Linked DNA regions of Oryzias latipes. The protein of the gene in region 1 binds, or shares a complex with, the protein of each later gene. Links are inferred from orthologs where the notes say so. Each region holds a gene or a part of one and is shown in the gene's direction. Other genes may lie near its edges.

Region 1 (15,121 bases):
AAATTAAAACTAAATTCTAGAAACCAAAGCCCAACAAAAAAAAAAAGAAATGTTTCAGTAAACAAAAGTAATTTCCAGAAATCAATATGAAATGTTTAAAGATTGAAACACAGTGAGAAACCGGAAAAGGTAGGTACTATGGGACATCGCTGATTGGATGATGACGTTTGGTTCTTCGTGGGGTTTTTTGTGTGTGTTTTTTTTTTAAATGCATCTTCAATGTCCTCATATATAGAGATCATATTCAGTATCTCTTCATGACAAATAACCTTCGGTTGAAATGGTGAACAGACATCATCATCCAATCAGTGATGTCCCACAGCACTCACCTTTTCCAGTTTCCATAAAAAAAAGAAAAAACATTTCGGAAAACAAAATTTCCAGAAATCAAAATAAAATCTTAAAATATAAAACAAAAGAAGAAATCAGAAAAGATACGTACTATAGGACATTTCTGTTTTTCAAATTTCATTTTGCTCTCTGGAAATTACTTTAGTTTTCCAAAACGTATCTTTTTAATTTTATTTCTTTTTTTTTTATTGTGTTTTGATTTCTAAAATGTACGTTTTTTTTCATCATTTGTTTTGCATTTTAATTGTCGTCGTGATCTTTTAAAATGTTTTTAGCACTGAGTGATTTGTTGGTGTGATTTGCACTGTATGTTTGAGGACTTTACTAATACCACTAATGCTAAATTCCTGCACACATTTAATGAAATATTGATCAAATTCCTTTCTGGAATGAATGCGATTTTCGAACAGAAAATACTCTCTTCAAGCAAGGAAGAAAACTAAAAGGAACAAATGTCTACCTGCATGAGCATCTTACCAAGAAGAATTCTGGCATCGCACGAAAAGCACGGTTTCTCAGAAAAGGAAAAAAAAATACAATCGACTTGGACAACAAACTGCAAAGTCTTCATTAAATTAAACGGCCCACCTGAACAGGCAAAAGTCATCGCGATCAAAGAAATTGAAGAACTGGACACATTTTGATAGAATACAACAACACTGTAGTCCTCCCCGCACACATCCATACCAAAAAGGGAAAAAAATACACAACAATAGATGTAGACAATGACCCACATATTAATTTCTTTGACTTTGTGAGTAACCACTGCAGTTATTACACAGAAGAAGAATACAATAGAAATACAAATCACGAACTCTCAATCATACAGTTCAACAGCAAAAGCTTATATGCAAATCACCGTTGAAGAATACTTGCACCAATTCAACAAACCTTTCAAAATAATTGCAATTTCAGAGACCTGGCTAACAGCAGAAAAGCACTTCCATCTTGAGAGCTATGATTTTCACTATGTGAGCAGGAAAAATAAGCAGGGGGGGGGGGGGGGGGGTTTACATACACAGCAGTCTTAAACACAAAGTTGTGAAAACAATGTCTGGCTGCATTGATGATGTCACGGAATAAATATATGTAAGGATTACTGCGTACTTAAATTCTTTTTCATCAGACACTGTTTTTTTTTTTTTTGTAAAACGCCTTCACGGAAGGTATTCCACCGAAACATGTAGGTACGTTTTACCAAAAAAAAACCAAAGCAAACCAGTGTCTGATAAAAAAGAATTTAAGTACTTAGTATAATTTATAGACACAATGAACCTCATTGAATCTGTAGAGATTAGTATGGAGAAACAGAGTAACATCATTGTCAGTTGTGTGTATTGAGCCCCTGCATCAGACATGGAAACTTTCACAAGTGCTATTGAAAACATGTTTGCTAATATCTCCAAAAATGTCATATTTCTTTGTTGAACCCAAACAATCACACCACGACAGAAGATTTTACTCATACAATGTACAGTTCAAGCTTCCATCCATTAATCAACAAACCCAACAGAATAACAGCGCAACCTTGATGGATAATATTTTTTTTACAAACCGCCTAGAAAACAGAATAAAAAGTGGATTACTGATGACCGACATCAGTGACCACCTTCCACTATTTGCAAAATATGAATGTGTTTTGTATAGAAGAAGCAAGTAGTTTACAGAAGTGAGCTAACAGAGGAATCAAAAAATGCATTTAAATCAGAACTAAAAGCAGACACTTGGAAAAACCTGTATGAAAGCAACAATATTAAATCAGCTTGTAAAAAGTTATGCAGGGGTTTACAACAATATACGACAAAAAATACCCACTTATAAAATTCTGTAATAGAAAACAGTATAATAAAATCCCATGGATGACAACTGGACTGAGAAACGCGTGCAAAAAAAAACAAACAGTTTATACAAACAATTCTTAAAAAACAGAACTGTTGAAGCTGAGCTGCGATACAAAAATATAAAAACAAATGAACCAGTATCATGAGAACATGCAAAAAAGACCATTACACAGAAATGTTAGAAAAAAATAAATCAAATACTAAAGAAATGTGGAAAGTATTGAACAGTGTCATTAGAAAAGACACAGAGAAAACAAATGGTCCAGACTCTGTAGCTGGTAAAAATGAGATATGCAACAAAATTCAGGATATGACTAAGGAGTTCAATGAATGTTTTGTAAAAATAGGGCCAAAGTTTGCTGAAATAAACTGTACTAATAAATCAGAAATGGAAACTGTTGAGCACTGCATAAAGAGAAATCCAAACTCAATCTATTTGAAACCCGTGAAAGCAAAAGAAATTCTAAAAATCGTCTAAGAATTCAAAAACAAAAGATTTACCGACTGTAACGGAATAATGTGATGGTGATAAAAAAGGTAATTGATTCCATTTTTGACCCGCTAACCTACATTTGCAATTTATCCTTCCAAACAGGAACATTTCCACAAAAAATGAAAATAGCTAAAGTAAATACATTACACACATCAGGGGACAAACATCAACTAACAAACTACAGAGCAGTGTCTTTACTCTGCAAATTCTCAAAAATACTTAAAGTATTCCTCACAAGGTTGGAAAATTTTGTTGAGAAACATAAACTCATGTCCGACGACCAATATGGTTTCAGAAAAAACAGATCAACATCCATGGTGATTACACAACTAACTGAAGAAATTATAAATGGCATGGATAATAAAGAGCTCACAGTAGAAGTGTTCGTCGATCTGAAAAAGGCTTTTGACACTATTGATCATAACATTTTAGAAATACTGGAAAGATATGGAATACAAGGACTGGCACTAAATTGGTTGAACAGTTGCACTAAAAACCGGCAACAGTTTGTCCAACTGGAAGATTAAAAATCATCCCTGCTAAATTTAAGCTGTGGAGTACCACACGGGTCAGTATTAGGCCAAACACTGTTCATCCTTTACATTAAGGATGTATACATGGTGTCAGATACACTCAAATACTTTTTATATGCCGACGACACAAGTATAGTCTGTAGAGGGGAGAACCTCCGGGAAGTTGTAAAAGTAGTAAACACAGAATTAGGGAAACTAAAACAATGTTTCGACAAAAATAAACTGTCACTCAATGTGAACAAAACTAAATTCATGACTTTTGGAAATCGCCACATTCCTGCAAATTTAGAAATATAAGTTGCTTTTGATAATCATGATATGGAAAGAGCCACTGAAATCAAGTTCCTTGGAGTAATTATGGACGACCAAATAAGCTTGAAGCCACATATAAATCAAGTCAGAGCTAAACTTGTTAAAAACATAGCAGTGTTGGGAAAAATGCATCATACACTCACTCACAGAGCACGTCTACTAATATATTCATTGATAATACTACCACATTTAGCATACAGTGTAGAAGATTAGGAAAATACTCGTAAAACAAATCTACAGTGTTTGTATATCTTACAAAAAGGCTATACGAATAGTTCATGATGTGGATTATGGGACTCATACAAATGCACTATTTCTAAAGTTGGGTTTATTGAAATTTTGGGAACTAGTAAAACTTAAAACAGCACTCATGTTTAAAGCCAGAAATAACTTGCTTCCAATAAACATGCAACAAATGTTCAAGGAAAGAGATGGGAGTTACATTTTAAGAAATCAGCTAAGCTTCAAAAAGCAGTGCATTCGCACTTCAAAAAAGAAAATGTGTTTATCAGTTTATGGTGTGGATTTATGGAATGGATTGGACGAAGGTTTAAAACAAACCCAAAAGTTTACATGCATTCAAAAAAACCTACAAGATGTCACTGATGGAACTGTACAAGGCAAGTAATGATTAATAAAAACAAAAATGTCACATCTGCATAGGTGCAATGCAGAATGTAATGTGAATGTATAACATGTACAAAACTGTAAATAGAAATACGCAGATGATCAGGTGCTGTAAAAAAGGGGTGGGATCATACAAGATTTCTCTTAAGTCCACTCCTTTTCAAGCACACTGTCTTGTTTTATCTGTCTTTTTTAAACTCTTGTGTTTATTTTAATTTGTGTTTGAAGTACAGAAAATTGAAGTGAATTGAATTATTTACCACCTTAAATACACATTGTGTTCCCTGTTTTCAGTCTCATTTTGCTTACTGTTGGTGTCCTCACACTGACACCACTCTCTTCTGAAACAATGGGGCTCCTCTTTGCTTAATCTTGTTTGAGTGCAAAATAGCCTCTTTGTATCAAAAGTTAAGTTCTTTGTTTCTCTGTGTTTGTTTGCATCTGTGCTTTGAACAGGCCAAATCTCTGGAGTGGCGGTGCAAAGAGAACCATGAACGTGGCTTCAGCTTCCTCTTTGATCACTTCAGGAAGTTTTATCTTCCTCACATATTCCCCAACTTCGCCATGGAAACGAGCCTTTACAATCCCATGTTGGGTCAGTCAGTGGTCATAATCAGGGTGGAGAAAGAAGAGTAAAAATTTCACATATACTGGAGTACATTCACTGAACGAGAGTGCTTTACTTTTGTCCCTTGCAGATGTGCCTCCAATGCGTCCCAAGCCATCCTACAGTTTGGTGCGCAGAGAGCAGGATGGTGGGGAAATGCTCTACTGTAACAAGGAGAGTTTCCTTCAGGCCCGAGTCATCTTTATTCGCTGGCTAGTTTCCTTTTGGTTGGAACCACGACCCAACACACAAGCACACATCCCAGGAACAGAGGGGGAAAGTGTCCCAAAGAACATACAGGTAATTACAGACATTGTACTATTAAGTGATGTATCTTTGTTTCACTACTGCATCCATCTTTTATTTTTTTCAAATTAAAACATTCTGTAGACATTTCAATAAGAAAAAACTGCAAAATAGTTCATACTTTTGTGCCTCTTATTTTTTATTAACTGTTTTTTACCGTTCCACTTTGTCTAGAGAGCAGCAGCTGGAATGGCTGCACGCTCCGCGGGCAACTCTGATGACAGCGTTGGGGGAGGCTTGCGTTGCGACAGTCACCTGGAAGCCAGCGGAGGCTCCTCAGGGCCAGCAGGAGCGAGCATGGGGATCTGTGGCGGTCTCGATGCTCCAGGAGAACCCGAACAGAGCCACTCCAACACCTCAACACTGACCGAACGAGAGCCCAGCTCCTCCTCACTGTGCTCAATGGACGAAGAGCAGCTGACAGACATGGAAGTTGTTCGGAGAGTACTGACCAGCTGCAGAACTAATGTCAACTTCATCACAGAAATCTTTAGACAGGTGAGAAATAAATAGTTATTTTTCATACCTGTTCAAGTATCTTTAGAGCTACTAACAGCTGGGAGATGGTAAATTACTTTTCAGTGTTTCCTAATGGTTGTGAGAGCAGCTGTCCCTTTGTTTTCCTTTTTCTGACTCTTATTTGAACACTTGAGAGTTTCCATCATCAAAAGCTTTTTTTCAGCGTATAAACTAGGCCTGCTTTGCTTTCACCTGTATAGGCTTTTCTCCTCCCCATGTGTGAAGCAGCTGCAATGCGAAAAGTGGTTCGTGTTTATCAAGAATGGATCTCCATGGAGGACAAGCCTGTGTTCATGAAAGAATCCGAAGAAGGCCCATACCCCGTACCTGCCCCTTGTAATCTAGAGACTGGCTCACAGCCGGGAGAAAAAGAAGATGAGGTAAAAGTCTCCTGAAATCATTCATGTATCTCAATGAAACGTTTCTGTTAAACACTTGTGTTTTGTTTTTTAGGGAATGGACAAAGATATTGACAGAGAATTACTTGAGTACAGTGTTCATGCTGGCATTCAGACTACACTCCAGGTAGTGATTTTTTTTTCTCCCAAGAATTCCCCCAATCTTCTCATCCACATTCGTTGGATTTGTAAATAAAAAAAATGAAGAAAAACTGTTTGCTTAGTTGTTTTCATTAAAAGCTCATGCTCATTCTGCAGGTTTTTATCACCCACTCCTCCAACGTTTTCCTCCTGGAACCTGCCAATGACATCAAGATCCTTTTAGAGGAGCATGTGGACATGTGCAAGCGAGTCCTGAACATCTACCGCAGCCTTGTCATGCATGAAACAATGGACCAGAAAACTTGGTAAGAATACTCCAACGTACTGAAGGACTTCTTGTTTTCTCATAATTCTAAATACTACAAAGGTTCAGTCACAAATGCTAACTAGCTAAAATGGTTTATCTCTTCATAGGGAGCAGATCTTACTAGTTCTGCTGAGGGTGACAGAATCTGTGATGAAAAGACCACCGTCCATCATGCCTCTGGGCAAAAAGATTAACAACACGCTTTCAGGCAGACTTGCTGGACCGGTCTTCCAGGTACATCACTGCCAGCATATCACTAAGGCAACATTTTAGCTTTCTCTCCTTTGCAGGAAATAAGAAGGAGACCATTTTAGGTATTTAAGCATCTTACGAGTTTCTTGAAAGGTTTTTCGACCTTAAACACCCATTTGCTGAAAAAAACAAAACCATCAATTTGTTTACATGTCCATAAAAAAAAATCAGATAAATATTTGCAACTAATTTTTAGTGTTCATTAGAAAATTCTGGTTTATATGGTTTTATATTGGAGAACTACACATAAACAAGAGTGTGCAATGCAGTGAACAAATCAAAAGGTGGCTACTATGAAGAACCTAGAATATGACATTTTCATTTGTTTTATACTTTTTTGTTATGTATATAATTCCACATGTGTTAATTCATAGTTTTGATGCCTTCAGTGTGAATGTACAATTTTCATAGTCATGAAAATAAAGAAAACTCTTTTAATGAGAAGGTGTGTCCAAACTTTTGGTCTGTACTGTATGTGAGAGCGAGTATATACGGTGTGGCAAAAAAGTATTTAGTCAGCCCCCAATTGTGCAAATTCTCCCACTTAAAAAGATCAGAGAGGCCTGTAATTTTCAGTGTCGGTATACTTCAACTATGAGAAACAAAATGAGAATCCTGAAAATCTTATTTTTAAAGAATTTATCAATAAGCTATAGTGGAAAATAAGTATTTGGTCAATAACAAAAGTTCAATTCAATACTTAGTTTTATACCCTTTATTGCCAATGATAGCAGTCAAACGTATTCTGTAAGTCTTTACAAGGTTTTCAGAAACTGTTGCTGGTATTTTGGCCCATTCCTCCATCCAGATCTCCTCTAGAGCAAAAGATTCAAGATTCAAGATTTTATTCTGTCATTGTCAGTGAAACAACGAAAATTCATTTGGAGCATCAACAACAGCCTCTCAGTTCAATTCACCAAAATAAATACCCAATAGTTAAATAAATAACCAAAGTGCAGCATGAGTACAAAAAGAAACACAGCAAGAAACATAAGACATTCAGTGTCCACGAGATGTTAAGTCAGTAGCATCTTGGTGTTGGTGTGCAGGAATGCTAAGTCCAGTTCACAGTGTGCTCAGATGCTCAACAGCAGTGATGTTTTGGGGCTGTCGTTGGACAACACAGACTTTCAACTCCCTCCAAAGATTTTTGACCATAAATTACAAATAAATTCTTTAAAAATCAGACAATGTGATGTATTACTGAATTGTTTTTCTTATTTTGTCTGTCAGAACTGAATGAAATCTTTTTAAGTTGGAGAACTTGGGACAATTGGTGGCTGACTAAATGCTTTTTTGCTCCACTGTATGTATGTGATAGTGAGTATATATGTATGTGAGAGCGAGAATGTTAGTATGAGTGAGAATATGTGAGTGGTTCATAATGAAAATGTATTTTACAGCCCTCATCGTAATCACTGTCATGCCGCTAGTTTTAATGGAATTTTTTCTAATTTATAGTCTTATTTGTGTGTTTTTCTTTTTCTTTTTTTCTTTTTAGACACTGATAGTAGCTTGGATTAAGGCAAACCTGAATGTCTACATAAGCAGAGAGCTGTGGGACGACCTCCTGTCTGTGCTCTCCTCTCTGACCTTCTGGGAGGAGCTGGTAACTGAGTGGTCACTCACCATGGAAACTCTCACAAAGGTCCTATACTCCCATCTTTTTAGATTTGACCTTTAATTGGAATCTATATCAGTGTTGCGTCAGTCATTTCCAGAGACATGATTTAAACTTATTATGAAAACACAAGGGAGTTTCCCCTATAACCATCAAAATGTTTGAATGGATACTGGTAAATTCTGGGAAAAACCCAATCAATGTTTTTGAATTGAACCTTTGATCAAAAAAGGTTTGTAGAGTCAGAAATGGAGACTAAATGAATAGAAAAATGCACTATGGCAATGTTAAAGCAATGTTTATCTTGATTTTTAGGTCTTGGCAAGAAATTTGTACAGTGTTGATCTGAATGAGCTGCCCCTGGACAAACTCAGCGAACAGAAACAGAAGAAACACAAAGGCAAAGGTTCGCTCCTCACTAGAGATCTGTACAGACAGACATTTAACAACACACGGTGTCTGAAAATATTCCCGTGCATTATGATCGTAAGCCTGACCTGCCTTCTTTTCGTTCGCCAGCTATCGGTTCAGAGGGCCTGCGGCAAGTAGTGGACCGTTCCTTTTCCAAAGGCTGGAGCAGAGACCAGTCAGGTCAGGCAGCAGCAATGAGGCAGCGAAGTGCCACCACTGCTGGTTCTCCGGGCATTGAAAAAGCGAGGAGTATTGTTCGCCAAAAGACTGTAGGTCAGTAATGTGTGTCTTACATACTTGGAAACCAATGAACTCTATTATGAGTTACACTCTGGCTCATTTTACAATGTCTAGTACTGTTAAAATGACTCATTTTATTAAAACGTTTTAGACTCAGTTTATTTCTTTTTACATTTCAGCATGTTGTGCACTTAGGAAATCTAGTGACAGAATTTGAAACATTTAATCAGAACCTCACATTCTTTTGGAAAGAAGTTAGATTGATGAGTCTGTAAGTGTTGGATTGATCAAGTGCTGCAGATTGCACAGCAAACTTCCCTTTTTTCAAAAAAAAAGTGAAGTTAACATTTTACCATAGGATCTTTGTTCCAATGCACAAAGGTCCAAGAACCTCAATATGCATGTGTATTAAGTTTTCTTTATTAAACATTAAAAAATTGAACTTTTTAGAAAGTTATTGATCCCATAATGGGAAAATTCTCTTGTAACCATAGCTCTGTTGAAAACGGAATAAAACAGATTATAATACAGCAATCACAAGCCACATTTTGTCAGCGGCAGGCGTCAACAGCTGATCGTGTAAACAACGCATCAGTGGATAGTTTCATACCCAGCAGTGGAGGAAAACTGCCCAGAAAGTGGCTGCAGACATACCACTCTACTCAGTTGGTGTAAAAAGAGGATAATGAAACAAAAATAGCCAAGCTAACTCTGAGCTAAAGTAGACGAACTGGCAGCCGACCGTTTGACGATCACTATGGTCGGCTACCAGTTAACCTACTTTAGCTCAGAGTTAGCTTATCTGTTTTGATTATTTTCCATCCATTTTCTTAACCCACCATGTCCTTTATCCAAAGCAGGGTACACCTGGACATGTCCAGTTTATTCTCAGGACAGGCACCTCTACAGCAAAAAGAAAATGTGAAAGCAAAAAAAGAAAATAATTTAAAAGCAAATATTTAATATTTTCATTTGCAACTTAGAAAGTTTTGTGTTCAACATGGTGCCAGAAATAACAATGTTATTAAAAGAATCTACAGACTTTAAAAGTATTGAAATTACATAAAATGCCCACATTCACTTGTATTTTTAGTTTTAAACTTATTGTATGGCTCTCTCGAAATTACATTTAAAATTATGTGTTGTTGATGGCTCTCTCGGCCAAAAAGGTTCCCGACCCCCGGGGTTATACGATCAGCTGTTCTCGCATGGTAACAAAAAATGTGGCAGGACATTGCTGTTATAATCAGTTTTTTTTTTAGTTTTCTGTCAGGGGACCAAGATCATTCTTAAAAGTTTAATTCTGTTTTAGTTTAATAAATAAGCCTCATTGGGTTTCCAAGCCACATCCAAGCCACACATCACCAAGTCCAATGCAGAACATCGGATGCTGTGATGTAAAGCACGCCACAGGACTCTAGAGCAGTGTAGGCACCTTCTCTGGAGTGATAAATCACACTTTTCCATCTGGCAATCTGATGGATAAGTCTGGGGTTGGAGGTTACCATGAGAACGGTACATGTCGGACTGCATTGTGGCGAGTGTGAAATTTGGTAGAGCAGGAATTATGGTGTGGGGTTGTTTTTTAGTACTTGGGCTTAGTTCCAGTGAAAGGAACTCTGAATGCTAGAAGATACCAAAACATTTTGGACAATTCCAAGCTCCCAACATTGTGGTAATAGTTTGGAGCGGGCCCCTTCCTCTTCCAACATGACTGTGCACAAGTGACCAAAGGAAGAACTATAAAGACATGGATGACAGTCGTGTGTGGAGGAAGTTTGCACAGAGTCCTGACCTGAACCTGATGGGATGAAGTAAAGTGGAGACTGAGAGTTGGGCCTTCTCCACCAACATCACGGTGTGACCTCACTAGTGTGCTTTTGGAAGAATGGTCAAAAATTCCTATAAAAACATTCCCAGAAAAGTTGAAGCTGTAATAGCTGCAAAAGGTCAACCTACATCATACAGAACTCTATGGGTTAGGAATGGGATGGCACTGCGGAGCATTTGTTTTTTGTTTTTTGCATCTGTTTTTTGTATTTTTGTGCAGGAGGCCTCTCATTTTACTTAATTACGGTACATTCTTTTGGTTTAGTTTTCTAGCAAAACAAACAACACATTTTATTTTCTCACACATTTTTCTTCTATTTTTTTGTTTTTTTTGCTAAAGTTGATCTGCTTTCCTTGTTTTCGTGGTCACTGCATCTTCAGTCGTCTTTCTCATGCCTCCTCACCTTCCTACTCACTTCAAGTTACTTCTTTCTTTTGCTTTTGGCTTTCTTTCTATCCTGTTCTTCGCTATTTCTCTTCTTCTCTTCCTAATTCCTCAGCCCTGCGTAGCTGCTCTACAGGCGACTCTCTGATCTCTTCAGCCTTTATCCGCAGTGCTAAGAGTGCTCCTGCTCTGGCTCCGCCTCTTCCTGTCCTCCTTCACCAACACCACCCTTTTCTACCCCCCCTTGCTGACCATCTGGCAGGTACACTTTCTGTCTGCCTGGAACCTGAAAATGTCAACTTGTGTCGCTGTTTTTCTTGACTGATGAAGCCGTTTTCATTGTTCTAGCTGAAGTTGCTGTTCTGTGATTTCTTTTTTTTTAATTGGATTTGAACTATAAAATGTTACTAAAACTGCACCAATTTCTTACTTGACATGTTCAGATAATAACACATCATTTTATCAATAGGGATTCGGTTGTAGTTTATGTTTAAAGAAAAAAAAAGAGGAAGGTCTGGTTTTAAAAATGACCTAAATACTGGTGAAGTTTGATTTAGAAAAAAGTTGTAAAAGCTAAAACATAAATGGTTTGTCAAAAATATGATCTCACAAGTATGTTATCTTTTTTAATTAAACTTTATTTGAAGGCAGGAAGAAAGTTACGAGTTCAATTAATTATAATGCTCATGTACATAATAACACACTTACGTGGCACATTAGGAATCTCACATGAACTTTAACAGAGAAATGTGAAAAAACACATTCATGAGTAATCTGGTCATCTTTGTCAAAATCCTTTCTTCCATTATTATTTATTTATAATGCTTCTTTTCACAGAGACCACCATAGAGCAAATCTTTCACATCTGTTTGCTTTTACCGAGAGAAGTTTAAAAACATCTCCTATTTGTAAAAATATTACCTTTTTTAAAATGGTTGTATTGCAAAAATTTAATAGATTTAGGATTAAATTACCAAACATATGAGTTGTAGGGACAAGTTTTGCCTAATATCTCCTAATAGCTTCTCTAAACCAGTGGATACACATTTCATACTTAGCATCATATTATAGGAATAAATGGAAATAAAAATAACAAATGTTCACAACTGAGTCTTGTTTCACTTGAACACTTGTGTCAAACTCAAGGCCCGGGGGCCAAATGTGGCCCTCCATGTCATTGTATGTGGCCCGCGAGAGCATAAAAGTTTTTATTCTCTTAAAATAAAATAAAAAAATTGGTGTGTATTTATTCATATCTAGGGGTAACCTGATTTGAAATATGGGATTGAGCAACTATACATTAGAACTTAAACACTGTCCATATAACCTAACCTGGCAGAATCAAATTTAAAGGGATTTATCCTATAGTAACAAGCAAACATATTTTTTTCTATAAAATTGTCACTTTAAAAAGTTATAATAAATAAATAATGAGTTATTTAACATTAAGGAGTAGTTACATTTATTTTTCATTACATTTAGTTACATGTCTAGTTACATGTCTAAGCATAGTGGTTGTCATTAATTAACCCTTGTGCTATCCTAGGCACTTTAACGTTGGGAGTTGGGTCATCTAGACCCACTAGACAGTGCTCTGAACCTTTTTTCTTCAATGATTTGTGATCTTCACTGGTGTCCATGGATTACATGAAATCTTTCCACCTTCATCCACCTTTGTCATGGTAGGGAGAACACGTCAATGTAAGGGTGGGGTCATCTAAGATAGCACAAGGGTTAAAGGGACTTTAAGGACAACCACTATGCTGGTCCTCAGTGAAAATGAGTTTAACCCCCCTGATCTAGTGTAATCAAAACTTTTATACTTTACAGCAGTGATTTTCAACCTTTTTTGAGCCAAGGTACACTTTATCCTTGACAAAAATCCCGCGGCACACCAGCATTCAATAATTAAAAAAGAACAAACTCATAGTCTGTATTGATGTACAGTCCCTCCATGATCTCACGTGCATTTTTGTGATAATTGTGGCAGAAAAAGCTGGAAGTTGCAGCTGTTTTTTCTAAAAGATGTAATAAAAGTTAAGTTAGTTTTCAGTAATAATTTTCAACTAAATTATTAGAAATCTTACCCTGGTAATTATTTTTTCCTCCAGTTTATTAACATGCAATTTTATGTAACCTCACAAAAAAACAAATAGATTCTTTCTAAATAGTGATTTATTTTTTAAACATTTATTTCAATGTTGGTGGAAAGGCAACTGTAATTTTTGAGCAATTATATGATCACAATATTTCTGTTTTCTGTAGCTACACAAAAAGTGAAAATGTTTAAGTTTTATTAGTTTTTTCTTGTCTTATTAAAAAATGAAGTATTTGAAAACTTTAACAAAATGTTTTATTTCTTTTTAGATTATGAAATTGTTTCAATTTAGTCTAATTGTGTCTGTTGGCCACTTCACCTTAATCCTGTTTCTTAAATGTTGTTGTTACTTCTTCTTAAATTTAACATATAAAATAATCCAGACGTTATTAGAAAAGGGTTTCAGTTAGAAAGATGACTTGGAGGAACTAAACTGCTGACCTCTGATTTCATCAAGAAGATTTAAAAACTGTTTGATGTGTGTTCGTTGTGGTTTCAAGACATTTAACAGGAAAGACTCATTGTAGCGCAGATATGCTGTCACTTTAACCCAATGCATCATGGGAGATGTATTGCAAAACTGCCACAGATTGCAGACAGACTCGCTTTTTTGAGCTTCATTGTTTTGTTCACTTGTTCCACGGTCTGACACCGGATTCTGTGGAAGGCTCCACCGCTAAAGACGAGCTTTAGCTGATATTTTTGTAGGAACTGAGAGACTTTATGAACAGAATCAGAACAAGGAAGTGAAGACTCTAACCACTTCTGATTGGTCAGACTGATGACGTGTGATTAAGCCTCCAAGAATGATTGGAGGAGACAGTTGAAGGGGCGGGACTTTTCTGAAAACAGAGCTGAAGCTGCAGCTAAATCGCGATACCCTCATTTTTATCAAATTGTCTTTAATAGAATCAAATAAACAGAAAAAAGTATTTTATGATCTTTCATATTCCTAACTACTCAGTGTTTTATCAGTTATGTTTGGATGAACACAGCTGATATGCTGGAGATGGTAAATGTTTCTAGATCAGTGAATGGGTCATCTCCCACGGCACACTAGTGTGCCGCAACACACCGGTTGAAAAACACTGCTTTATAGTTATTGAGGTTTAAAAAATGCTGTAGGGGATCAACTTTTTCCCTGAAAAACAAAGATTTGAAAATCTATGCAGCACTAATACTGTAGCTACTTTAAAAATGCATATTTATTAAGGAAGAAATAACATTTTCAGAGCTTAAAAAATAAACCACAGATAGTCATGAAAGTGTGGCAAAATTTTCCTGCTCATTTCGTAAGTATAAATTCATTCTTTTAAATATTTTTTTAAAAAAGGTCACGTGTAGGCAAAAAGAGATTTCTTTTAAGCAGAACAGAACGTAAACTAGAATTGTATTTATTTTGTTGATTGCTGACCTCTGCGACCTCTCTTCTCTCTCTCTCTCTCTCTAAAGTGACATTTTGCACTGAGAAATTTGCACATTCAAAACAAATGATTGCATCCTTTATGTTCTTGTAATCACCAGACCTTGAGGATCCGCCAATCACCCTGACGTCCCGTATCTCTAGAATTCGCCATTCGTCTCAGAGTGATGAAGCCCCTCCCACTTCCTGCTCTGAGGTCTTCCAAGGAGGGGCTTGTGACCTAGATCCTCCAGCCCCATCTTCCCTCGCACGTAGCAGTAGTGCCTCTGACATCATGGAGCCCTTCATCGCAGAGCGGGTCAAAGGTGAAGACTCGCAAAGGGATGCCGTTTTGATCCCTGATTTTTCCCACGGCAGCTCCACAGCTACTTCCGTACTTGCAACCAACAACCACACAACTCGGTCTATCTCACCACCCTTTACCTCTTCTTCTCCCACCCCCTTTACCTTCCCTAATGGTGTTGT
Region 2 (15,902 bases), on another chromosome or scaffold:
GATTAGGCTCGGTCCAAGAAGCAGCCCATTAAATATTCCATGTAGAAACGGAAAGTTTTTGATTCAGAGACAGGATTTTTACTCTCAACACCAAATCGATCCCCTCCTCCTTAAATCGAGTGTTGTTGTAAACAGGAAGCATCAAGCCTTCACTCTGACTAGCCGATTGACTCATGAGAAATGTGTTGCATTGAAACAGCTGCAGAGGCACCGGTGGCCTGTGCCGAGACCGGCCTATGTCCCCCTGATCCTCCCGCTCCTGAAGACAGCGGGTGGAAGCGAGCTGCTCGGATACCGAGGACGTCTGGCGTGTTTGACAGTCGCCACGAGATAGGCTGATCTATTCGTGGATTAGTTATTAAACGTTGCTCGATTCATCCTCCAACGCCATGTCAGACATGATCCACATATGTATTTATAGATCTAGACTTGGGGAGACGTCTCACGCTGGATTAGGTAACTGCTGTAATAATCAAACAGGACACATAAGCAGTTAGAAAGACCTGATCTGCATCTTTAAGTCAGGAGAACTGCATGAATTCTTGGTAACCGACTGAATCATTCATTAAATCCATTTTGGAGTTCATTTTTTCAGGCGTTTCTGTAGATTTCAAGTTGAGTGCAAAGTTTATTTAGAAGCTGAGTTTGTCTGTCTGGGACTTTACCACTCCCTCAAACATCTTTTTTTCTAATATTTAGTCTTGTGTTTTTCTTATAATAGAAGTTAAGAGCGCACATTAACATTATTTTGGTTTCTTTACACTGTTTCCTACAGAGATTCTCCGCGCCGAGCGCATCCAAGTCCGGGATATTTCCACGGATTCTGCCACTCTGCAGTGGCGCCCGGTTCTGTCTGGTCTGAGTGGATACTATGAAATCCGGGTCGGTCAGGTTCCGTCTGGAGGTGGCAGCGGAGGTGGACCCGGAACTAGTCCGAGTATTGGTGGTAGTCAGTACCAAAGAGTCACCCAGCCCGCAGGCTCCAACAGTGTGCGTTTGAGGGACCTGAAGCCGGAAACCACGTACGTCGCCACCCTGACCTCGAAGTCCAACGAGCAAGACTTCAACTCGCTCTCTGTCACCTTCACCACAAAGCCAGGTTGCTTCATTTTTTTGTCAGTAAAATATGGAAAAACTTTTATGGTCCATTAAAAAACATAAATAAATCCAGAGTTCCGTAACTTAAGGTTCCACTCCGATCACCTTCTGATATTTTCTCAGTGTTTTCATGATGATTATGCCGTTTTTAGCCAAAATCAGAAAACCTGTGTCGTTTTCCAGGACCTAGTTTCTGCAGAGCAGCAGAAAATACTCTTCTGAGTTGTGGCCGGGACTGTCGGGGCGCAAGTAAACCTCTACTGATGTCCTACCATCCCTTTGTTTATACTCTCTCCCGCTAGCTTACAGCCCCTCACACCAGTGTTTTTCAACCAGTGTGCCGCGGCACACCAGTGTGCCGTGGGAGATGGTCAAGTGTGCCGTGAGAAATTGCCCTCATTAACTGATCTAAAAGCAATTACCATCTCCAGGAAATCAGCTCTTTGTTCATCCAAACAGGCCCTGATAAAACACTGAGAAGTTAAGAATATGAAATATTCTTGTTAAAATAAAATATGTCCAACACAAGAGGCCCTCAGCTCTCATCTGTTTGCCTAGCTGTTGGACAGGACAAGTTAAAAAAAAAAAAAAAAAAAAAAAAAGAATATGAAATATCATAAAATACTTTTTTCTTTGTGTTTATATGATTCTATTAAAGACATTTTGATAACAATAACGGGATACCGCGATTTAGCTGCAGCTATAACTGTGTAAGGAAAAGTCTCGCCCCTTTAACTGTCTCCACCAATCATTCTTGAAGGCTTAATCACATGTCATCAGTCTGACCAATCAGAAGTGGTTAAAGTATTCACTTCCTTGTTTCGATTTAGCGCAAAAAAGTCTCTCTGTTCTAACAAAAATACCAGCTAAAGCTCGTCTTTAGCGGTGTAGCTTTCCACAGAATCTGGTATCAGACTGGAACAAGTGAACAAAACCATGAAGCTCAAAGACGCTGGTCTTTCCGCGGTCGGCGGATTATGGGCACTACATCTCCCATGATGCAGTAAAATGACTGTTTTAGCGCACAATGAGTCTCTCCTCTTAACGTCTTAAAACAACGAACACACATCAAACAGTTTTTGAATCTTTTGACTTAATTTTTAATACATCTTTTAGAAAAAACAGCTGCAGCTTCCAGCTTTTTCTGCAACATTTATCACAAAAATGCATGTGAGATTGCAGAGCGGCTGTAGATCAATACAGACTGAGCTTTTTCTTTTTTTTTATTTATCTATTTTTTTGGATGCTGGTGTGCCGCGGGATTTTTGTCAAGGTTAAAGTGTGCCGTGGCTCAAAAAAGGTTGAAAAACACTGCCTCACACAATCAACCTAATATTAGCGGTGCAACAAAAATGGCGAGCAATATCGTAGCTATCCAGCCGTACAGTTTGAATCCAGATTCCAGCTCAGACAAGGAAAACAAAGACGTTCATGGATCTATTTGTATGTAAGAGGATGCATCAGAATGGAGCAGAGCAAGGAGCTTGAGGCTCCGCCCATTGCAATTTTTATGTGACAACTTGGAGATTCCTTTAAATGATTTTTTTCATCTGCTCTTGATTCATCACGATTTGATTAAAGAAGTACTCAGAAATGCAATTTTAAGCTTAATTTTCTTCATAAATGTTCACCGTAGTCATAAAAATGCTACTAGAACTTGATAAAAACACCATTTTCATTGGAGCTGGTCTTTCACAAGACAGGGCGATGTGAAGCTGGTTTTTCTCTGAATATCTTCAGTTTGGAAATTGAAGATGCTGAAGGAACTGTGTCTCCCTCCACTCAGAGGTGCTGAGCCCAGCTGTGGTGACGGTCTCCGAGTCGGGGCAGACCAGCGTTCGGGTCAGTTGGGGTCCTCTTCAGCCGGACACGGTCACAAGTTACCTGATCGAATACTCTGCCCTGCCTGGAGGGAAGCTGCAGACCGTCAGAGTGGACCCCAGGCAGAACTCCACTCTGCTGAGGGGCCTCCAGGCTGACACCACGTACCTGGTGACGGTCAGCGCTCGGCACGCCTCAGGAAAGGAGAAGGCCATGTCTGTCAAAATGTGTACTCAAGAAGGTGAGCAATGGGACTTCAATGGCCCGTGGTCTGTTTACCTGACGCTGATCAAACACAGGCAGGGAGAAGTTGCTCTGAGCTGTAAGGGGGCCACAGACGGCCCGTCTCTTCTGGATCTTCGAAGCATGCTCCGACTGATAGCGCTCGGTCTCCTTCTACAGTTACTCCGGCCCTGGCGGACCTCCAGCTGACCACTGTGGGAAGTGATTCGGTGCAGGTGGACTGGAAGGCCAGCGCACAGGGCTTGAGGGGTTACTGGCTCACCTGGGAGGGACAGCAGAGCTCTGTACCTGGCCGGCACTCCTCCCTCTATTTGCCACCTGACTCCCGGTCAACAAGGCTCACGCACCTCCCCCCGTCCTCCAGGGTGTGTGTGTCGCCCATTTACCAAAGCGCACGTGGAGATGGACTGTGCTGCACGGCACAGTTTCCGTCAGGTGAGCCGAGTCGTTTAATGGCACGAATAAATGAATGTGGTCTGCGACTGTCAATCATTGTCATTCTATCCTATAGATTTCTGATTCGACAACATGTGTCATTGTATTTACTCCTTTAAAGCGCAATTGTCAGTTTTTCTGGTTAAAGTTTTTCAAATTAGACCAAATCTGTCAACATGTCGGCATATGAAAACATCTAAAACGTGTTTTTAAAGCTTTGTTTTTGCCCGACACTTGCATGCAAAAGTCTCAGCAGTCTCCCTTTTCCCCCCTCAGAGTCGCTGTCGTATGGTTACCAGTCCTAGCAGAGCAGAATGGGAGGTGCACCTTTCCAAACATGGAGGGAGGAGGGGGAGAAAGGAAGAATGCTGACTTCCATCCATGAATCCGTTGCGTTCCTCTTCCTTCTGTGGACATTCAGCAGGAGAAGCGGTTTGGCTCCCCGAGCTCTCATGTGGAAGCCAGAGACTGTGACAGTCTGGCCAAAAGTCGACTGCTACAACCTGCAAAGCAGAAAACGTTACTTTTTTTTTACATTTCTGTTTTTTTCCTTTAGTATGCAAGAAATGCTTAATGTTAGAAATGCAAGCTTAAGGGAGTTTCTGGGTCTGTTTTGCAGAATCGCTGCAGTGCATCCTGGGAAAGTTAATGTTTTACATGGATTTGTTTTGGAAAAAAAAACTTTGCACCATGTGCACACCACATGCGCAACGTCTTTTAACGCACACAGAAACATCTGAAATGCATTTACAGGGCATTCTGTACATGCTGAAATGCTTCGCCTCTTACCACATCTTTTAATTCTTAGGGCTTGTGTGCGCCGCGCAGAGCAGCAAACTAAATCCAGGGCTTAGAAAATGTTTTTTTTTTCTCTTTGGAACACAGAGGATCCAACTGTTTTGAATTGAGAGAGGATGTCTTCTCATACAACACAGATGTGTGTGACTGATTTGTTGATTTCTATTAAAAAAAGTTCTATTCATATTTATTTATCTAAAAGTTATAGGCAGGACAATTCTAAATTTGGAGTCTTTACTGAAATGTTTACTGGATGTAGAGCCTGACTTTGCTGCCCCCTACTGTAAGAAGGTGTTGTGGCCCACTGCTGACCTTTTGCTTCATCCTGAGGATGTTTCTTGACCTCCATTCAGAACTACCACTATATGTGTATATGTATAAGCTGTAAATAAATATTACAGTATGTATCAGTGTCAGTAAGTGACTTTTAAAAAAATGTTATTACCACATAGGGGTCAACTTTTTATTTTTAAAAATTAAAAAACAGCTGTTTTGCTCAGCTGGGTGTGAATTATTTTGAAATTGAAGAACTTTAAAAAAAGGTTTTCTGCCCTGAATCAATAACCCCAGCATGCATTCGTTTTCTACGCCCTCTTGGTCCTTTCTGGGGTCACGGGGGTGCTGGAGCCTGTCCTAGCTACTGTCGGGGAGTGTGCGGTTCTTTCTGGATGTCCATTGTAGGGCCACAAAGGATCCATTTAGAGAATTGTGGCTTATATGCAGTATATTAAATTTTAACACAATCTTTTGTGTGATGCTCTTTTTGTTTTTGCATGAAAAAGGTCAAGTATACAATGAAAAGTATAGGATTTGCTTGAGATAAGATGAACTTTAATAATCCGTAGGGAAATTTAGTTGTTAAAACAACCCTGGGGTTTAGGCATCAAGATGCAAAGAAATTAAATATTCAGATGTGCAAAAATTAAAATTTACATACTTTAAAATATCATAGACAAGCTAAGTCATGTGGTGTGAAACATCTCAGGTAAAAAAAAAAAGACCATTAGAAACTCTGGAGTTGATTTTAGTGGCACAGATCATTCGATTCGATTTGATTCGATTTGATTTGACATGGTTTATTTCAAGCAATCAAAGTAAGAATACAAACAAAACAATCAGCAGCTATGCATTCGCACAGAGACGTATCAAACTTAGGATAATTAATACGCATTAGCATATGATAAAATCTGTTCCTTAAACTAGAATAGATAATGCTTTATGATGATTTTGCTCAGAAAAACACACTTGTTGTGGTCTGTCATCAGGTTACGCACTTTTCAGTTGTGTCTAAAAACAAATGTTAAAATAACAAGACTATAAATTAGCAACAGTTAAGCTATTACATCTAAATAAGCAGAATTAGCATCATTCATTAACAAATTATTCTTAAGGATAATACTGCACAGGACACTGGTGCAGAAAAATGTGACCTCTGATGAGTATGAGGTTTGTGTAATCCATGTGTAATCCATGAATAGCACATACATGCTATTCATGGATTACACAGCCCAAAAAAATGACAAGCAAAATTTAGATTTTCAACACTCATATTAAGATGAACTGCAAGGTTTTACTCTTCACACTTGGGAAGACACAAATCAAAAACTTTAACTTGTTTATTACCCATCGACCCTGTTACACAGTAGCTGTGTTAGTGTTCGCATTAAATGACATGAACAAGATGTAAATTGTGTGGACAAAGAAAATTCTGTCAGACTTTTTTTTTTTTTAGTATTTTGTTCCGTAGAGACAGAATAAAACTGCTCTGATTGCCGTGAAACTCGAAATGATAGAAGTTAACTTTTCTTGGAACTGAAAGAAACTTAGGAGAAAAATGATAATTAAAATTATCCAGAACATGGGTTGCACAGTGACTTTTTAAGGTATGAGAATGCTAAAATGTATCTCTTTGCTTATGATTTATGCTGCTTTCCTGACTGGTGATTTAGGCTTTTTATTGACAACACCAGCTAAAAGCTGTCAGATTACACGTGCACTATGAGCATGTGAACTGATCATGCTTAATCTATTGTAGAAGAAGTTGTAAATAAAATCGGGCTCTCTTCTTGGAGTGGAGGTCAGGTGCAAGGCTCCTGAGTGCCGAACACTATCTTTGCCCACATAACCAAAACACTGCAGGGCACCATGACAACCAAGCCTTTTCCAGAAAAGCTACTAATATAGATGCGGTCACAGCATTGGGTTCGGATGGGACCTCACTGACAGATCCAAACACAGAACCAAACAATGAAGGCAGGGGGTGGTGGCAGTGGCAGACTTTCACTCCCCGGCTTTAAGATGAGGAAAAATGTTATTTACTGCGCATGTGCATGACTGTGTATGCAAATATTCTTGTTGGCACAAACATGACAGAAAGAAAAAAAAGAGAACCGGGATTAAACTTTGCTTTTTTTTAATGACGTTGTCTTAAGGTGAATTTTGACTTTAACTGCTGTAGAGGGATATGTAAAAATTTGAATGAAGAATTACAGATTTTTTTTGGTTTCAAACTTCGACATGCCACACCCACAGTCTGCGCCTGCGTATATCCCCTCGGTGAACGCTAGGGGCGCCTCGCACCGGAAGCCGTCTCCTGTTAGCCCCGTCAAAAGCCTAGATCTCCAAAGCCTGACATTGTGAAGATGGAGGCTGTTGGGGTTTAGACCGGGAAGAGGGAGCTCACACCGGGACATTCGGAGTCGTGTTATGGAAACGTTCTCTGCAGGTTCAGGTAAAGACAAAAGCCTGTAATTTAACCAGCAAACTAACCTTGTTGTCTTTGAAAACTTGGTTAGTTAGCAAGCATAGCGAGCTAATGTCAGCGACGAAGCTAATGCTAGCTAAGCTAGCTGGGAAAATCGGAGCAACTTTCTCCTTCTATGTGATATTTGACCTGTGGGAGTATATGTTCATATTTTACCGATGATAATTTTCGGTTCCTAACAGAGAGAGGTGATATCGACTCAGCAGTCAATTAATTTTGGTTTATTCGGCAAGTTAGGACGGATGTTTTGAACGGGCTTCTCAGTAGGATCCGCTTCCTGGTTGGGAATCCTCCCTTTCTGACCGAACCGAGACGCGTCCCGTAAACATTAGAATAACTAAAACTTGAGTTAAGTTTTCAGACTACACTGCCAGGCTGTGCTATGAAAGAACGGGGCTGCTTTTCCTCGCTAACATGGAAACTTGCCCAAGAACACAAAGCCCTGGGGTGTTTTTGTTTACTGATGCTTCCCTGTTTACAGGGAAGAGAAATCCTTAGCTGTGTCAGGTCCATACATGATATCCAGTTCAGATTGACTATTTGACGTGCTATCACACAGACAATAATTTCAATGAGAGTCTGCATAATTGTATTACAATTTTTTTATGTGATTAATACTTTGACAACGGCATGTGAATGACCTAAGTACAGTTTTCCCTGACCTCCACATTTGTGTGTCTGCAGGTGGAGGCAGGAGCTGCATGTAGAGAGCATCAGAAATCAGCAGGATGTACTCGGAGTGGCGCTCGCTGCAGCTGGTGGTGCAGAGTGATCAGGGCCACATAAGCGTGCTGCACACCTACCCAAACAATGTCGGCACCGAAGTGGCAAACGCCGTGGTGAAGCCTCTGGGCACAGCGGTCAGTCCTGTGGCCACGGAGAACATCCTCAAGACGGACAAAGAGGTGAGAACCTTTCTAATAATGGTGCTCCATCATAACTGCTGCTTGTTCAAGATCATGTGCTGGTCGTTAAGACTGTGTGCTTTTAAAAAGAAGGTTCTAATATCAAATCCTGCCCCCTTCCTGTGTAGAATTTGCACGTTTTTTTAATTACCCTCCTTCAGTTTAGAAAGGTGTATATATATGACAGTATATCCTGCTTTTACTCTATGAAAGCTGGTATGGGATCCAGCTACCGCTTTGATTCTAGTGGGGATGTAGTGGCTTTAGATAATAAAATTGTTAGTTATTTTTTTAGTTTTGGTTCATTCATTTGCTTTAAATGGTACACATATAAGTTGTGAACTGTCAGAGGTTTTAAAAAAAGCTACTCTTTCCTAAAGGTTGTTTCCCCTGAAAGGTTGTTTCCCCTGGGAGATGCATTCTAAAAACAGATGTTAAAGCCAGGAAAGCTCCTCACTACACACTTCATAGACTTTTCTGGAACAGACATGGATATTTTCACTCGTTTCTGTCTTGTTTAATCTCTCAAAGTTTAAACTTTCATAGAAAAATAGGTCCAGGATTATAGAATAACAACAAAGATCTGATTGTGATCGAAGATTTATGTTATTGAGGTGATTGGATTCTGTACAGGAGACACAGCACGGATGAGGTGGACAACGATCCACAGGGATGAAAAACACCATTAACCTTTTAAAGAAAAGACAACAAAAAGCATGCAAAATTCCATACAAAAAATCTGCAAAACAGTCCGACAGCGAAAGGGGAATCGTGATATACATTTTACATTTCAGAATTACACGTAAAATGTCTCTTCCATTCAATTTAAAACAGTTTGTGTGCAACTGAGGTTGACTAGCCTTAAAACAATGCAATATGTCCAAAGCTCTGGACAGACTTAAACCTTCTGATATGGCATGAACCTAATAAAACAATGAAATGTTGCATGCTTAATGGTTGAGCCTCCCGGCTGCACCGTCCCAGAGCTTCTTGGAATCTGTCAGGTGGCCACGCCCTCTTTGAAATGGATGCTCTTTCGAAAAGAAAAAAACAACAACAAACCCAACAACTGGTTAACATTTCTGAAAAATGCAGAGTTGGGGGCAGAACTGAGCAGTTTCAGAGTTTCAGGCTTGTGATTGAAGCTTTTTTGTAGGTGATAAACACTCACTTGCTGCATCTGAGGTTCATTTTTCCGTCTGTTCTTTGTCCATCAAATACACAGACGTGTAGGTGATGCTATAGTTTTCATTCATCACTTACGTAAAACCTTGCATGCCATTTTGGAATCAAAAGAGAATCAAGCAAACAGCCAGGGTTAAGTTACTAAGTTCTATTATCTGTCATCATGCAAAATGGAAGACTTTGCTGTGATCATCCTGAAACAGTAAGCTGTTAAACCCATACCTTAAATTAATCATGTTTTTTTTCCCTCATACATGTTATTTTAAATTAAAAAGTTGCTCCATGGAAGTCTGTTGAATCCTGAAAAACTGGTTTTCAGGTGAAATGGACCATGGAGGTTCTGTGCTATGGCCTGACCCTCCCATTAGAAGGAGACACTGTCAAGCTTTGCGTGGATGTGTACACTGACTGGATGATGGCTCTGGTGTCACCCAGAGACTCCATGCCACAGCCTGTGGTGAAGGAGCCCAACATGTATGTGCAGACCATTCTGAAACATCTGTACAATGTCTTCGTTCCAAGGTATGTGACCAGCTTTCCTTTTCCTCCTCCTTCTGAATGATTTTGGCTCTAATGTTGTGTGACTTCTCTTCTGTTGGTCAGTAAAGTAATGACGGCAGACGGTTAAATTATTATTGGGAGTTATTGGTTCATAAACGGGTCAAATTGTTCTGTGCTAGCTTAGCTTTTCACAATGATGAACAGTAAATACTTGGATCAGACGTCTGTGCACTTGAAGAATTACAGGTTATATGGAGCAATTATTTTTTTGTCTTAACATGTACAGGTGAAGGAAATGAAGGATTTAGGGACATGTTTTTGAAGGATTTTCAAAGTTCTGTCTGTTTTTCCTTCCTATTTTTCTGTAAATTAGGTTTTTCTGTGACATCACCTTAGAACTTTACATCAAAATCAAAGCCATGTGGCGATGCAGCATCCATCAGCTGCCTTTTAAATACTTAAAAATGGTCAGGAATTCTTTGGACCATTCATTGTTTCCAATTGAACTGTTTCAGGCCTGAACAACACAGTCTGAACCACATCAGACTTTGCCAGCAGGTTCTGACTGCGGTCCAGAAGCTGGCCCGAGAGTCCGTTTCTATGGTGAGAGAAACCTGGGAGGTGTTGTTGCTTTTTCTGCTTCGTATCAATGACACACTGCTGGCACCGCCCACGGTTGGAGGTAAATCTCCACTTGAAGTCGTTTCTTACTCGATCGTCATGGTTCTTGGCGGCGGTGACGAACGACGGTCTCCTTTGTTTCTTCCTTCAGTGGGCGTGGCAGAGAAACTTGCAGAAAAGTTGATGGCTGTGTTGTTTGAAGTGTGGTTACTCGCTTGTGCTCGCTGCTTTCCCACGCCGCCGTACTGGAAGACGGCGAAGGAAATGCTGGCGAACTGGAGACACCACCCTCCTGTTGTTGAGCAGTGGAGCAGGGTGGCCTGTGCTCTGACGTCCAGGTCAGAAGATTCAAGCTTCTAAGGCATTTAGTCACATTAGTTATTGAACTGAGTACCGCTAACGTCGGTGTGACACCTGCTGGACAATGGAATGCAGATTCAGAGGTCTGGTGTTGAACCTGCTACCCTCTTGTTGCAGACTTCTGCGGTTCACCCACGGACCATCCTTCCCACCTTTCAAGGTCCCAGATGAAGACGCCAACTTGATTCCCGTAGAAATGGACAACGACTGTGTGGCTCAGACGTGGTATCGATTTTTGCACATGATCAGGTCCTGAAAGCCTCTTTGTGTGTTGGTCCTTTTAACGGAACTGTGGTTTGATAACACACTTTTTGTGTAGCCTGTTATGGGAAGTTGAACTAACATTTCTTTCAAACCAGTTCTTGCATGACCACAGTTCAGGCTCTACGTCTGTTTGAGTTCCTGTTCGACAAAGTTTACCGTTGCAATTTAGCGACAACTTTTTATTCAATCTGCAGATGTGTTTCCCTTTTTTTCCCAGCAACCCCGTGGACCTGAGCAACCCCGCCATCGTCAGCACCACTCCAAAGTTTCAGGAGCAGTTTCTCAGCCCGAGTGGAATCCCCCACGAAGTGGTTTTGCACCCCTGTTTAAAGCAGCTCCCCCAGATCTTCTTTAGGGCAATGCGGGGGGTCAGCTGCCTTGTCGATGCCTTCTTGGGTAAGAAGATATTTGGTCAAGCTGTTGAAGAATTTGAGTCAAAGCTTAAGAAAAGCCAACTGTAAAAGTTATAGCGTTTTTAAAAAAAAATTTTTTATACGGATTGCTCTCATCCGTTTTAGTTTGGAAAAGCCATTTGGCTTTAAGAATGAAGGAAAACGCGGCTGGAATGGGTTCTGATCAGAGCAGCCATGTCCATCCAAACCAAACTAGTCTTCCCGCTTTCTTTGTCACACCGGATCAGAAGAAAATTTCAGAAATCATGAAAGCAGCATTCTTCAACATGTCTTAGAGTTTGTGACCACTCCAGATGGGACGTCAGAGGTCTCCAACCCTGAAATTTGATTTTAGTCATTTAGCCCACCTTTACCAAACTGCTCACATTCATAGTTAGGGAAGTGAAGTTCTCTCTGTATCACCTTGATGTTATTCTGATTTTTAATCTAGCACAATCTCCCTACTGGTTTATAAAGTGACTGAAATGCGAACCTGCCCGTATGTATTTTCTCTTCACACTGTAGGTGTCTCTGTTGAAAAGAGAGACGTTCGCGACAGAGTGTTCACTTTTTTTCCACTGCAGCTCTCTCATGGTACAGACATCAAACAATCAGATCCTGTGGGCACATGGTTTGTTTGTTTGTTTGTGGTGACATTAAAGGTCCAGTGTGTAGGACGCAGCCATATTTGACACATCGCCATGGCGTGATCACAGCCACCCCTCTTCTGAGTCACTTTGTCTTTAGTCTTAGCTCCCAAGAAGGAACTGACCCTTTAACTGACCCTGTTTTAATGATAAGTCTATAAAGACTTATTCTTTTTCTACAAAACAAAAGCCCTAAAATTTTCTTAAAGGGTTCATCTAAATGTTACACACTGGAACTTTACAAACTGGGGGTAATCTTCTGCCTACAAAATGACAAATTCCAGATTCAAACTAAACAACAACAAAATGACGCAGAGAAATCCTGCAGGTTCAAATCCAGATGGATGACACTAATGATCGGTGGTTTGTTTCTAACAAATGTCCTGCATGCGAATGAATGGAACAGTGTTTGATTGACTTGACCTTCCTGAAGACAAATCATTTTTGTCTCTTCAGATTTTTTGCTTGAACAAAATAATCCCCCCCCCCACCGTTCTTTACCCTTTTTTTTTTTGTACGTAGGTATATCGCGGCCCCGGGCTGACAGCGCCCCGCCCACTCCAGTTAACAGACTGAGTGTGTCCCCGCCCCCTTCCATTGCCAACACTACACCCCCACACAGCCGCAAACAGCGACACATGGCGGTCACCAAAACTGCAAGCAAGAGTTCATCTGTAAGTCCAGAAGATTTGGAGGGAAGCTGCCGGTTTTGGCTAAAAACATCGGTATCGTCAGAATGAAAAGACCGCTGGGAATGAAGAGTTGATCGGAGTTTGGCTGAAACACGGTCGTGTTCAAAGATGGTGTCTAGCATTCTGTTCTCCCCTGTCTGCCTCTGTAGAGCAGTGTGAGTCAAACGACCAAAGCGACCCAGCAGCAGCAGCAGCATCAATCTTCCTCCCCGACCCTGCTTTCCAGCCCCAACCAGAGCAGCTGGGAGTCCCGGCCGCTGCCCGCCCCGGCGCGGCCCAAAGTCAACAGCATCCTGAACCTGTTTGGTCAGTGGCTTTTTGACGCTGCCTTGGTGCACTGTAAGCTGCACAGCGGCCTGAGCAGAGACGGCAGCATGACTGGTAAGGGTCGGGGGTGTTGGGATGCTCTAGCGCATGGGGGAGGGGGGGTGTTGCTGTCCTTTTACTGTGTGTTTTTGTAAATGTCTTTGATTTTTGTGGTTGTCAGTTTTTTCTGTGCCCATGTTGGAGTCTGTTTTCCTTTTTTCACCATTTTTACCCTAAACTTTCCTGTGTGTGTGTGTGTGTGTGTGCACACGTGTGTGTGTGCGCATATGTGCGCGCGTGCGTGTGTACAGCTTGGTTAGAAGTGGCCTTTCTGTATAATTCCTGTCCATTCACATCTGCCACCTGTTTAAACTGGACGACATCTACATGCATATGAAAACCACACTGAAGGGCTAAGTCACACAAAGTCTGTCTAAAAATACCAAGCGGCTAATGACTGAATTTGAAAAAGACTCTGTTAGCTTCTCTTTGGGGTGTCCTGCACGTGTCTGCCATGTCTGATTTAATGTAAAAGTTGGAATGAGTCAAAGTCATGTATTGAGGAGGACAAAACACGATTCATGCCTGATATGAATTGGTCCTAAATGATGGGATCTGCTTTGATTTTTCTCTCTCTTCACTATTTTTTTGTTATCTTGCAGCCTCTTTTATCCAAATTCTCCTTTCTTATAAATCTTGTAAGTAGGAATGACAGATTTAATTTTTTTCTCTCACCTGATCTTGCGTTTTTGACAAACCTCCCCTGCTTTTCAGTTGACTTCCTCATGGTCATTGCCATCATCACTATCTTTTCATGCCCCCCCCCACTCCTTCTCATGTTTAAACCAGCGGTCTCGCCACTCGGCTGATGAAACGGATTTCACCAACTGACCATTTGTCTCCGCCATAATGCTGCCAGTCTGTGAATATGCTGCCCCATTCGAGCTGGTCTTCACTTTTCAGTTCTGCTAATCCTTCTTGATGTGTTTATTTATTATTAGCATTTGTTTTTCAGTTTACGTTGGCGTTGTCCGTTCATTTGAGTTGTGGTTTTATTGGTTTGGCGCCTCAATGCATGAAGCGAATGGTCTGTACTTTGACTTATGCAGATGTCGTCTAATGAAAGCTCAGAGGACGCTGACACAGGGACTTTGCTTTTAGGACAAACGGCAGACACGTTTGACCTTTTTCCACCTGAGCTTTTGCCAGAGAACCAAATGAAACTCATTCGGCAAATTCCTTTTGTCAGAGTTTCCTTTTAAAAGTGGATATTTGCAGCAATTCTGTAATAGAAACACAATCTTTGGTCGCCTTTATGTATGAAATGTGATCGATTCACTTTTTTTTACTGTGCACATTGTAGTCTGTCTGTTCTGTGTAAATGCATGCAAACAAATGACCACAATGCAATTCAGGGTTCTCTCATTCTGTGTCCTCCCCCCTCCTGCAGCCATAAGCACTCAGCTGGGGTTGGACCTGAGGAGGAAGGGCTCTCAGATGTCGACCGACTCCATGGTGCCAAACCCTTTGTTTGACATCAACGAGTTCCCGGAGAGCTACGAGGCAGGACGAGCGGAGGCCTGCGGGACGCTCTGCCGCATCTTCTGTAGCAAGAAAACCGGAGAAGACATTCTGTCCGTCTACCTGTCCAGGTAGCAGACGTTCTCTGCCAAATGTCTCTGTAGTTTGGGAGACTGCTGTTGCATGAGTTCTCATTGCTGTCTGCAGGTTCTACATGGTCCTGATTCAGGGTCTCCAGATATCGGATTTTATCTGCAGACCAGTTCTGGCTTCCATCATTCTCAACTCTTCGTCTTTGTTCTGCACTGATTTGAAGGGCATCAATGTGGTAGTGCCCTATTTCATAGCTGCTCTTGAAACTATCGTGCCAGACAGGTGAGCCTCTGAGTCCATCGTAGGTTCCTCTCTGGATTTGGTGTTCAGGGTTGTGACCCGCCTCTCATGCATTTCTCAGGGAACTGTCCAAATTCAAAATGTATGTAAATCCTACTGACTTGAGGAGAGCCTCCATCAACATCCTCCTGGCCATGCTGCCTCTCCCACATCACTTTGGGAACATCAAGTCTGAGGTAGCCTCTTACTTTAAGATCTGACGTTTGCCTGTTTCTGCTTTGATCAAAATGTAGACTATTGCTCGTGTAAAGTCATTTAGGTTGTTTCCTCTTTACTTGTATGTGTCCGTTGTCTTTAAGCCACAGTAGGAAATGATATGTTTGATAAATGAGCCGTTTATTTTCTTCCTGCTTTAGGTTCTGCTGGAGGGAAAGTTTAACGAGGAGGACGGCTGTCCACACGACCAGCCGGTGTCCTTCCTGTCGCTGAGGCTCCGCCTGGTCAACGTCCTCATAGGAGCACTGCAGACGGAGACGGACCCCACCAACACACAGCTCATTCTGGGTATGTGTGACGAGGACTGAAATGACCTTCCCTCTGCACGTCCACGTGAAAGACAAGCACGTGGACAGCAGGAATACAGACCTTTCTGATCTGTTTCTATCTTCTTGATTATCCGTTAACGTTTGGTAACATGATCATTTAAAAGCAAAAATGTGACGCGTTTTACTGCTTCTAAAAAAACACTTCCTGACAGCAGTTTGATTCACAGCAGAAAAGACCAAAAGAAGAACAAAAAAGTTTGTTTGTTTTACTCTTTTGGTGATCAGAAGTCTCTGGAAGTGTCCGTCAGAGGTGGAAGCTATTTAAGGCTTTTTAGTGGTTTATTTAGTGCTTTTATTTATTTATTCCCATAAAACGATGACAAAGGCAAAACAATACAACATGCAAGCTTGTTTTTGTGTGTGTGTGTGTGTGTGTGTGTGTGTGTGTGTGTGTGTGTGTGTGTGTGTGTG

The links.
Region 2: ralgapa1 (region 1) and ralgapb share a complex: the UniProt entries of both Homo sapiens proteins name them as parts of the heterodimeric RalGAP1 complex. The link is inferred for Oryzias latipes from reciprocal best matches to the Homo sapiens genes RALGAPA1 and RALGAPB.

What each region holds. Positions count from the first base shown.
Region 1 is NC_019880.2:19,686,715-19,701,835, forward strand, and holds part of ralgapa1 (ral GTPase-activating protein subunit alpha-1), read left to right. Parts: intron 1-4,613; coding exon 4,614-4,752; intron 4,753-4,855; coding exon 4,856-5,064; intron 5,065-5,244; coding exon 5,245-5,568; intron 5,569-5,789; coding exon 5,790-5,969; intron 5,970-6,042; coding exon 6,043-6,114; intron 6,115-6,245; coding exon 6,246-6,394; intron 6,395-6,503; coding exon 6,504-6,630; intron 6,631-8,149; coding exon 8,150-8,296; intron 8,297-8,584; coding exon 8,585-8,675; intron 8,676-8,788; coding exon 8,789-8,953; intron 8,954-11,250; coding exon 11,251-11,397; intron 11,398-14,757; coding exon 14,758-14,961; intron 14,962-15,121. UniProt on the Homo sapiens protein: Catalytic subunit of the heterodimeric RalGAP1 complex which acts as a GTPase activator for the Ras-like small GTPases RALA and RALB.
Region 2 is NC_019865.2:1,628,263-1,644,164, forward strand, and holds the start of ralgapb (ral GTPase-activating protein subunit beta), read left to right. Parts: upstream 1-6,985; 5' UTR 6,986-7,126; intron 7,127-7,843; 5' UTR 7,844-7,887; coding exon 7,888-8,064; intron 8,065-9,568; coding exon 9,569-9,771; intron 9,772-10,265; coding exon 10,266-10,432; intron 10,433-10,522; coding exon 10,523-10,709; intron 10,710-10,848; coding exon 10,849-10,980; intron 10,981-11,212; coding exon 11,213-11,391; intron 11,392-11,912; coding exon 11,913-11,981; intron 11,982-12,556; coding exon 12,557-12,708; intron 12,709-12,875; coding exon 12,876-13,107; intron 13,108-13,694; coding exon 13,695-13,730; intron 13,731-14,482; coding exon 14,483-14,684; intron 14,685-14,760; coding exon 14,761-14,928; intron 14,929-15,007; coding exon 15,008-15,122; intron 15,123-15,302; coding exon 15,303-15,450; intron 15,451-15,902. Other genes in the region: vwa1 (von Willebrand factor A domain-containing protein 1), read left to right, coding at 776-1,099, 2,885-3,160, 3,322-3,597, 3,874-3,902. UniProt on the Homo sapiens protein: Non-catalytic subunit of the heterodimeric RalGAP1 and RalGAP2 complexes which act as GTPase activators for the Ras-like small GTPases RALA and RALB.